2 linked regions of the Danio rerio genome follow. The protein of the gene in region 2 purifies or fractionates together with the protein of the main gene of each other region. This does not show direct contact. Links are inferred from orthologs where the notes say so. Each region holds a gene or a part of one and is shown on either strand. Other genes may lie near its edges.

Region 1 (4,625 bases), on a different chromosome or scaffold from region 2:
ATGGCCTCTTCAGCATTTTTTAAAACGCTCCGTTTTCAGGGCTGGAAAACTTTGGGGTAGTGTGGACTGTAGGCATAACTGTAGGAAAACGTATGCATTTTAAAACTAAAACGGATTAGTGTAGACGGGGCCTATATGAACATTATAATATCACTCACTCACTCATCCTATCATTTGGCTTAGTCCCTTATTTATCACAGCAGAATGAACCGCCAACTAATCTGGCACATTTTTTATACACTCTCTCATTCACACACATACACACTCAAAGACTGTGGCCATTTTATTTTACACAATTCACCTATCCCGCATGTCTTTGGACTGAAAAACCAGACAAACACGGAGAGAAAACACAAACTCTACACAGAAATGCCATCTGGCCCAGCCGGGACTCGAACCAGCAACATTTTTGCTGAGGCGACAGTGCTAACTACTAAATAAATATTATTTTAAACTCATATTAAATATTTAATAAAATATTTCAATATTGTGCATCCCTATAATTATCATTAATTTATATAATATTATTTATATATATATGTAATATAATTAATCTAATTTATATAATAGGTTATTGAGTTAAAATTAAAAAGCTTTACAAAATTACTTTAAGCATTTTGGGTTTTGGTTTTCGGCCAAGTGCATCCAGAATTTTCATTTCAGCTCATCGCTAAATATTTTTGTTACAAAAACACACTCATCTACTTCTTAAGACATGCGTTGACCCCCTGGTGGTAAATAGGTTAGTTTTAGACAGATTTGTGAAAGCTTCAAAAAAAGTGACATTTCCCAGCACCATTATACAGCATGGAAGAGCCATGGTAAATTTAAAGGGGTGGTCCAAAGTGTAATTAAGGCTTGGTTGTGTTTATATGATGCAAAGCAATGTGTGCTCATGCTTCATTTGTTAAAAAAAAAAGAATTCAACTTTGATTTTATACAGCTACTCAGCTAACATAAAAAACGACTCATATTTCCTAGTTCCTCTAAAAGTCCTGCTCTCAAGAGGCTCTGATTGGTCACTTAAAATAATGTGCTGTTATTCGCAGATCAGCTCCACATCACTAGGAAAAGTGTCACGCCTTTACAAGCACATGTTGTGCCTCGGCTGTATAAATACTGTCAGTCAGAGTAGCTGTTAGCCATGTAAGTTTCAGCCTGAATCAGACAGAAAATGAACAGGACACAGCTAAACCTCACGCCTGCTCTCTAAAATAAAATCTGACAAGTGTCCTTTACATATATTCGGAATAAGCATGTGTAAGTAATATGAAACATTCACATATCTTTTGTGAGTTCATTATTTGAGATGAAAAACGCAGGGAAAGTGGCTGAATAAAGAGACACTGCGGCGCTGCTGAAGATTGTGGCTGTTTACAGCAGTTTGACGGACAAATATAAATTTGTAGCTACATTGTTAGTGGTGCCAAACAGCATTTCCTGTTGTTTTCATCCTTGTTTACATCCTTGCTACAACATACCATTAACGGTAGACACTGTGCATGTATTAGATCAATTTTAACCAATAAAAACACTTACAGGTTGTGGCTCACAATCCTTAGCTTAGTCTATAAAGGTTGGAGCTGCTTCTCCTTTGAGGAGTTTTTAGCCAAATCCAGCACTGAACTAAGAGAGATTCTAGAAGCTGTCCTTTGTTAAATGCTAGCTATATTTATTTTTTATAATTTTCTGGAACATATTTAAGTTAAATTGTAAACAATTCTCTTTATGCAGAAACAGAACAAGCTCTGAGGAAATTTGGACGGCATTTTAGCTTTCTCTGCTATAACATTACAGCGCCTTTGGCCACACCCCTTCGCTGCATGATGTAAATGCATGTAACCTGAAGCATTTAGCTCATTAACCTGGATGTATTTTTTTGTTGTCCCCTGTAGGCTTTGCTAAGCTAACTCTGTAAAAGCAATGTCTCGCTTTGCATTGAACTTTGAGCGTATAACATTCAGGGATGTTGTTTATGTTCACATAGCTACATTACACATTAACTAAAGTTTATATTATGATATCGTAGTGGACCACCCCTTTAAAACTACTCTTGTTCATCTGAATGAAGAGTAAACATTAAGGATGGCTTGAAAGCGAGTCAATTATGGGGTAATTTTACATTTTTGGTTAACTGTTCCTTTAATGCATCTTCTACAGTACATAGATAATTCACAAAGTAGAGTTTGGGTTAGATGCTACTGTATAAAGTTCACCTGGTTCTTCTCGTCCACTAGGATGCTGAGAACCTGAGCACTGTCACCTTGCTCAATGCAAGTACTTCCAGCAGCAGTGAACAAATCGTAATCTTCTGGTGCGAAGCTTTCATCCTTGACTGTTTGCTGCAAAAAGAGTGAATACACACGTAAATGACTGCAGGTGATTTAATGCGAGTGTACTGGAGCACACATTAAGACACTTACACATCTCTGGACCATATCACTGAGCTGATCTAGAGCCATGCTGATGCTCCGAAACGCCTTCTGTATGAAGATAATGTGATGTTACAGTCACTCTAGCAGTATACTAAAGCAGTGATGGTGCAAAGACAAGCTCGCACTGACGTCACGATCAATCATGACATCTTCATAAAAAGCAGTTCACTGTCACACACAGTCCAACTCAATCATCATTAAACACACACACACAGAATAACACATATCGAGATGATAAAAGCAAAACATTCATAAATGGACCTCACTCGTCCTCAAAGAGATGTCAAACTGCTTCTTGTAGGTTAGTTATTAGCAAGATAGCTAACGTTAAAATGCTCTAAAGGACTTGAGTTCGTTGAGAGAGAGGAGAACTAAACGTTCGCGTAGTTTTGTTTAAGCTAGGCTACTGCTTTGTTTTGTGAATATTATATAGGTCTACTTAACGACATAGAAATTGAAGGAGCGCGCTTACTCAGGTTCTATACTTCAAGCAGCGTCGCATGTTTAGAAACTGAAGCGGATTGTGCTGGATGAAGCGTGTCACACACGGCTTGCCGTAGTGCTCCGATGTAAGCGGAAGGAGTTTTGTTTTGATAAAACAAGCATGGATGCCGGTGAAGTGACAAGAAAGAGTCGGCCCTCAAAGTCCAAGAAGAAAGGTGTGGTATATATATAAAGTTACATGGACTTTTTCATTTATATGTTTGAATTTTAACAAAATGTTTGTACGTTTAATCTGAATTTTAGGTGGAAAGGGAACCCAAGCTATTTCAGCAGAGGATGAAGCGAAAAGGTGTGCATTAACTTCACTTGCACTTGCACTTGATTTTGAGTAGTAATTACATCTAGATTAAAGATATCTGGACTAACTTTGAATCTGGCTTTAGAAAGCCTGACTAGTTAGTTTACTGTAGTTTTAATCGCTTATGAAACGTTAAGGGTTTGTGAGTAATATAAAATATAGATATGTAAATATAAATATGTAATATAAAATGTATAGTACATTGGCATAACAGTTACTGGCTTAAGTTATTATACGTTAGTTATTACAATCGGGGATGGGAAGTATTTGTGATGCATGTATTTCAAATACGTATTTTAAATACAATAGTATTTTGTAATTTGCCTTTGATTAGGTTCATGAAAAAGGCTTAATATTTTGTATCAAAATACTTTAGTTTCTTGTATTTTTAAAATGCTTTGTAAAAAGTCTACTTGATGACATGATGGCTTTAGATTAGATTAGAAAATTTATAAATATTGGAGTTGATCAATGCTTGGAGTATGGATGAAAATTCTGCATCACATATAAAGAAAGTAACAGACAAATAGCTGGGGTAAATGCAGGAGCAGGTCAAAATCAGACAAGAATATAAGACAAACAACATAAAAAGTGGCGATACCTACAAAAAATAATTGGCTGTTTCAAATGCCAGTAGCTGATCTGCAGGTGCTCTTTATAGTTAATTACTAACTTTAACATAATAGACAAAAATATTAAATAATACTCCAAAACTTCCTAATTTTTGAGATATCGTGTTGATATGGTGTTTTGAAGAGTACAATTGCAAAAAAAAAAAAAAAAAAAAGATTTTTGGAAATTACTAAAACTGGAAACTTTTGTAGTTTTCAGAAATCATGATTTTATATTGAGTATTGAAGATTTCAATTGCAAAAATGTTGAAAAATATGACTTTTAACAGATGGTTGCAATTTTCACAATCAAGAGATATAGTATTCCAACTCATCTGCAATAAATGGTTTTTACCTAAAGTTTGTTAAAATATTAATGACAAAAGAAAATGGCTTGCTCTACAAATATATAATTTATTATGGCAAGAACATTTTGGAATAAGGCTGTAACATAAAAAATGTGGAAAAAGTGAAGCGCTATGAATAGTTTCCAGATGCACTGTATGTGTATAAAAAGTGTATAGCAAGTAGTGATGTTCGTTTCACAAGTACTATCATTAAGTGCTCCTAAGATAGATTGCTTGAGGGAAGAAACTGTTTCGGTGTCAGGCTGTTCTGGTGCATAGTGCTTTGTAGCATTGACCAGAAGTTAAAAGTTGGCAGGGTGAGGCTGTGTGCTGGGTGTGAGGGGTCCAAAGTGATTTTGGCAGCCCTTCTGCTCGCTTTGGATAAGTACAGTATTTGTAAAGTCGGGAGGATTGTACCAGTGATTCGCTC
Region 2 (3,826 bases):
ACACCTGGTGTCTGCTTTGCTCCCGCTGCCGCCGCCGCTGCTGCTGCTGCTTGCGGAGCTTTTCTTTCCATCCATCTTGAAGGAGAACTGTGCCTGGCCCTTACGGGGAGTGGACGGGTCCTCCATCAAGAACTCCACGATGTGTGGGCTTTCATCATTACGGCGCAGGTAGCCTTTGTTGATGACATGCATGATGCAGGAGAGCACATCTGTAGTGCTGCAGCTGAAGCGAACCGAGGTGCGAGTCCGATTTGACTCCTGCTTCTGACACCGGTCCAACACCTGCAATGGCACAACGATATTATTAAAGGACCATGAAACTCCCCTGAAAGGTTTTTTTTATACCTCTACTTTAGAAAAAGTCAGGAAAGTGGGCGTGTCCAGCTCTGTTTAGAGGGGAGAGTCGGAGGAGGGAAAGAGAGATGGTCTGTTAAAATTTGCATAAAAATGGGAGTGTCGGTTTGGGCACGCACTGATTTTCACAGTCAAACAAACACAGAGACGCAGGGGAGAAAGACAGTGACTGTGTTTACATGGACATCGGTAATCAAATTATTTGCCAAATTATTAAATGGTGGACTTTAACTGCAGTTTGGCTCTTTTATTCAGGAATTTCATTCATGCCCCTAGTGACAAATGATCTCTCGATTCGAGGAATTGCTGTAAGCATGTATTTTTAATGCAATGTTGGATACCGCACGACGAATGAGAGAAAAAAAGTTGCACCGCATGCACAATAGAGCGCGCTGATTGGTTATAACCAAGTCTTACACATGAATGAATGCAGCACACTCAGAGACGTCACAAGGTACCCCCAGGTACAGACATCCAGTCTACACGCTGGAATACACGCTAAGATCTCATGGCCGTGACGCAGCTTCAAAAATTTGTTTCAAACTGGAAGTACGAATTAGTTTTGAAATAGTCTATTTCACTTTTCAGTGAAATAGATGTGTCCTAATAGTTATTAGCAGCATGGGACACGTATATGAAAAAATACAGCTCAAAAAATGTGTTCTGATGTTTCGTGCCTCTTTAAACATGAAAAAATAAAGGTGGTATACTTTTTAAAAATATTTTTTGGTGGAGTGGTGGGGGTGGGGGGTTGGTTATGGGTCGGGGGGGTTTAACCTTCGTTTTATAGGACAGTGGAGACAGGAGATCATGGGAAGCAGAAAGAGAGGGAAAGGATTGACAATGGACCTCCAGCCGGGAAACAAACTCTGGTCATCGTGAGCACTTCAGTGCTATGTGTCGATGTGCTCACCACTAGGCAATTGGCAATGACAGAATTAAACATTCTAAAAATTAAAACTAAAATATACTTTACCTGAAACACCAAATTGTCAATATGCATCTCCTTCTCATTCTTCATGATTTGCACAATGAGACAGTAGATGTAGTTCCTCTTCCTCTCGAGCGTGAGAGCAGCATCTTCATCTACATTCAGGTACGTCTGCTTGGGATGCAGGTAATGGTAACCGTGTCTGTCTGAGCTCTGCGAGAGGGTGTTTTTGTTCAATCTAAGGATGCCTGAAAAAGTTCAAAATCATTGAGTTTTGATTCATTAACACAAACGTGTTTTTTTGTTAATTAAGAATTTAAAGGTGCAGTAAGTGATTGTCTTTAGATATTTTTTTTTTTGTTGTGCTGGTTGAAAGTCTCTTCACATTCTAAAAGTAATGATTAAAGTAAATGATCTGAATGTGTTTATATGTATTTTTATACAGGGTGGGCCATTTATATAGATGCACCTTAATAAAATGGGAATGGTTGGTGATATTAACAATAATCTGAAGGGGGTAAACAATACTGACCAAAAATTATTACTATTTTTTTTTTTTAAACTGCTTTTGTTTCAGTCACAGTAAAAAATAAATAAATAATAAAAGCATCCTCTCCGAAAGAAAAAAAAACTGCACATATTTCACAGGAGCACTAATAATTTAAGTTATTATAAAAGTTGTGTAATAGAAGTTATAAATAAGTCAAAAAAAGTAATAAAACAAAATGTATATTTAAAACTTTTAACAGATATTGTTAAACAAACTTAAAATAATAAATCCCCCATAGCATCCTAGACAAGAAAAAAAATAGTCCAATCTGACTAATCATCATTTAAGAGTAATTACAAGATAAATATATATTGCAAAAACAATATATAAACATCATCTTATTTTGTTGTTATCGGTAGCTGCTTTCACCTTTGATTGGGTCCTGGCTGGACCCGGTGTGAGTGAGAAGCCCCTTCTCTGCAGTGAGAGGTTTGAGAGCGTGACTCAGCATGGCTGGAGAGAGTCCAGTGGCCTGCTGTAGCATCTCCACGCTGACATCCTGCAGAAAACAAACAACGTCAACAATTCTGAAGCCAGTCCATTTAGTCATGTCGTGTTTAAGTTTGTACTGAGAGTACCTCGTGCTGGTTGAACTGCAGCAGGATGAACATCTGCAGTGTGGAGACGTAAAGAGTGCAGGATCCATACTGAAGCTCTGCATGGCCGAGCCACGTCCACTGCAGCCGACGAGGCTTACTGTGGGTCAGGCTATACATGCGCTGGCCTGTGGGACAGACACACAGATGAACATTCAGGCTTAAAAGGGGTAGTTCACACAAAAATGAACGATAACTGCCATTATATAAATCACCAAGATTCATGGATTCATCTAGAAATGTTCATTAATATTCTATTAACATGATTTAATTTGTTAATCATTTTTGATTGAGCTGTACCTTTAATCACCAGATTAAATATATTTAACTAACTGTATGATGAGCATTGTTTACATATCTGTGGAAATTGAACTTACTGTTGGTGTAAAAGTCAGTGAACTCGGCCAGGTAATTGCAGAGCTGAGCAGGGAAATGTTTGCTGGGGTCCTGGAGGTAGCAGGGAGCAGACACAACCCAGCAGCGTGGAGACAACACCAACACTTTCACATCACTCTCCTCTTCGGGTTCAGGCACATCTTCATCCATCATCTGATCAAACACATGAGCAAAACTCATTTAACCCTTTCACTTGTCAATGACTAGATGCATCAGTAAGGAGACAATGTTTTAGATGCATTACAGTGAGAGTCTACACTAGCACATGTGCTGAATGAGGCACCAGACTTCTGGGTCTCCTGGGAGCGAAATATAAGACGGTCAGGGAAAGTGAAAGTCAAATCGCATGTAAAAATTAAGTAATCTATATTTTAATCTATAAAATTAAGTTTTATAGAGCTTTCCTTTGGCTTAGGCCAAATCCCAATTCTACCCCGTACCCCTACCCCTTGTTTTGCGCATTCACGCCAAGGGGTAGGGGTGTCCCAATTATCTTTAGCTTGAAGGCATAGGACTAAGGGGAAGGGGCGAATAGCCCTTTGAACAGAGATTTTTCAGGAACACACTCGAAACCAAGGGCTAAGAAAATTTCCCAGAATGCACCACCAACAGCGGCAGTATTGCTGAACCCAGAGGTAAGGAGATCCACAAATTAGTATTTTTTTGTCATTATTATGAATTTTTACAACAAACAAACACGTTTTAATACAGTCTTAACTGCGTTCGTGTTTACTGTCACGCTAAAATAAAAACCACTTAATTCCGCGATCTATAATCCCTAATCATAACTCCTGAATAGCAGTACCACAACATTCTGACACTCGATGACACTGAAATACCCTGTCAGTAATGTCTAGTGGCTGAGAAAGAGCTTTTTGCAGCATCTGCTATAATGTTAATGTTGTTTTTGGTGTGTTTACATTGATGAATATGGCCACTGTGTTAAATGCACAGTATTGCGATCGTATTGCTTTATTATATTATTATGATAACATAATA

What was found.
Region 1: the proteins of cul9 (region 2) and glmna purify together in Homo sapiens (affinity purification with mass spectrometry; 3 studies listed by BioGRID and IntAct, counting the BioPlex papers as one, with this or other methods). This does not show direct contact. The link is inferred for Danio rerio from reciprocal best matches to the Homo sapiens genes CUL9 and GLMN.

What each region holds. Positions count from the first base shown.
Region 1 is NC_133177.1:11,244,250-11,248,874, reverse strand, and holds the start of glmna (glomulin, FKBP associated protein a), read right to left. Parts: upstream 2,961-4,625; 5' UTR 2,689-2,960; coding exon 2,683-2,688; intron 2,488-2,682; exon of another isoform or gene 2,484-2,487; coding exon 2,424-2,483; intron 2,343-2,423; coding exon 2,217-2,342; intron 1-2,216. Other genes in the region: putative RNA polymerase II subunit B1 CTD phosphatase rpap2, read left to right, coding at 3,040-3,094, 3,183-3,228.
Region 2 is NC_133188.1:6,433,684-6,437,509, reverse strand, and holds part of cul9 (cullin-9), read right to left. Parts: intron 2,981-3,826; coding exon 2,809-2,980; intron 2,560-2,808; coding exon 2,414-2,559; intron 2,335-2,413; coding exon 2,205-2,334; intron 1,534-2,204; coding exon 1,331-1,533; intron 283-1,330; coding exon 5-282; intron 1-4. UniProt on the Homo sapiens protein: Core component of a Cul9-RING ubiquitin-protein ligase complex composed of CUL9 and RBX1. The CUL9-RBX1 complex mediates ubiquitination and subsequent degradation of BIRC5 and is required to maintain microtubule dynamics and genome integrity.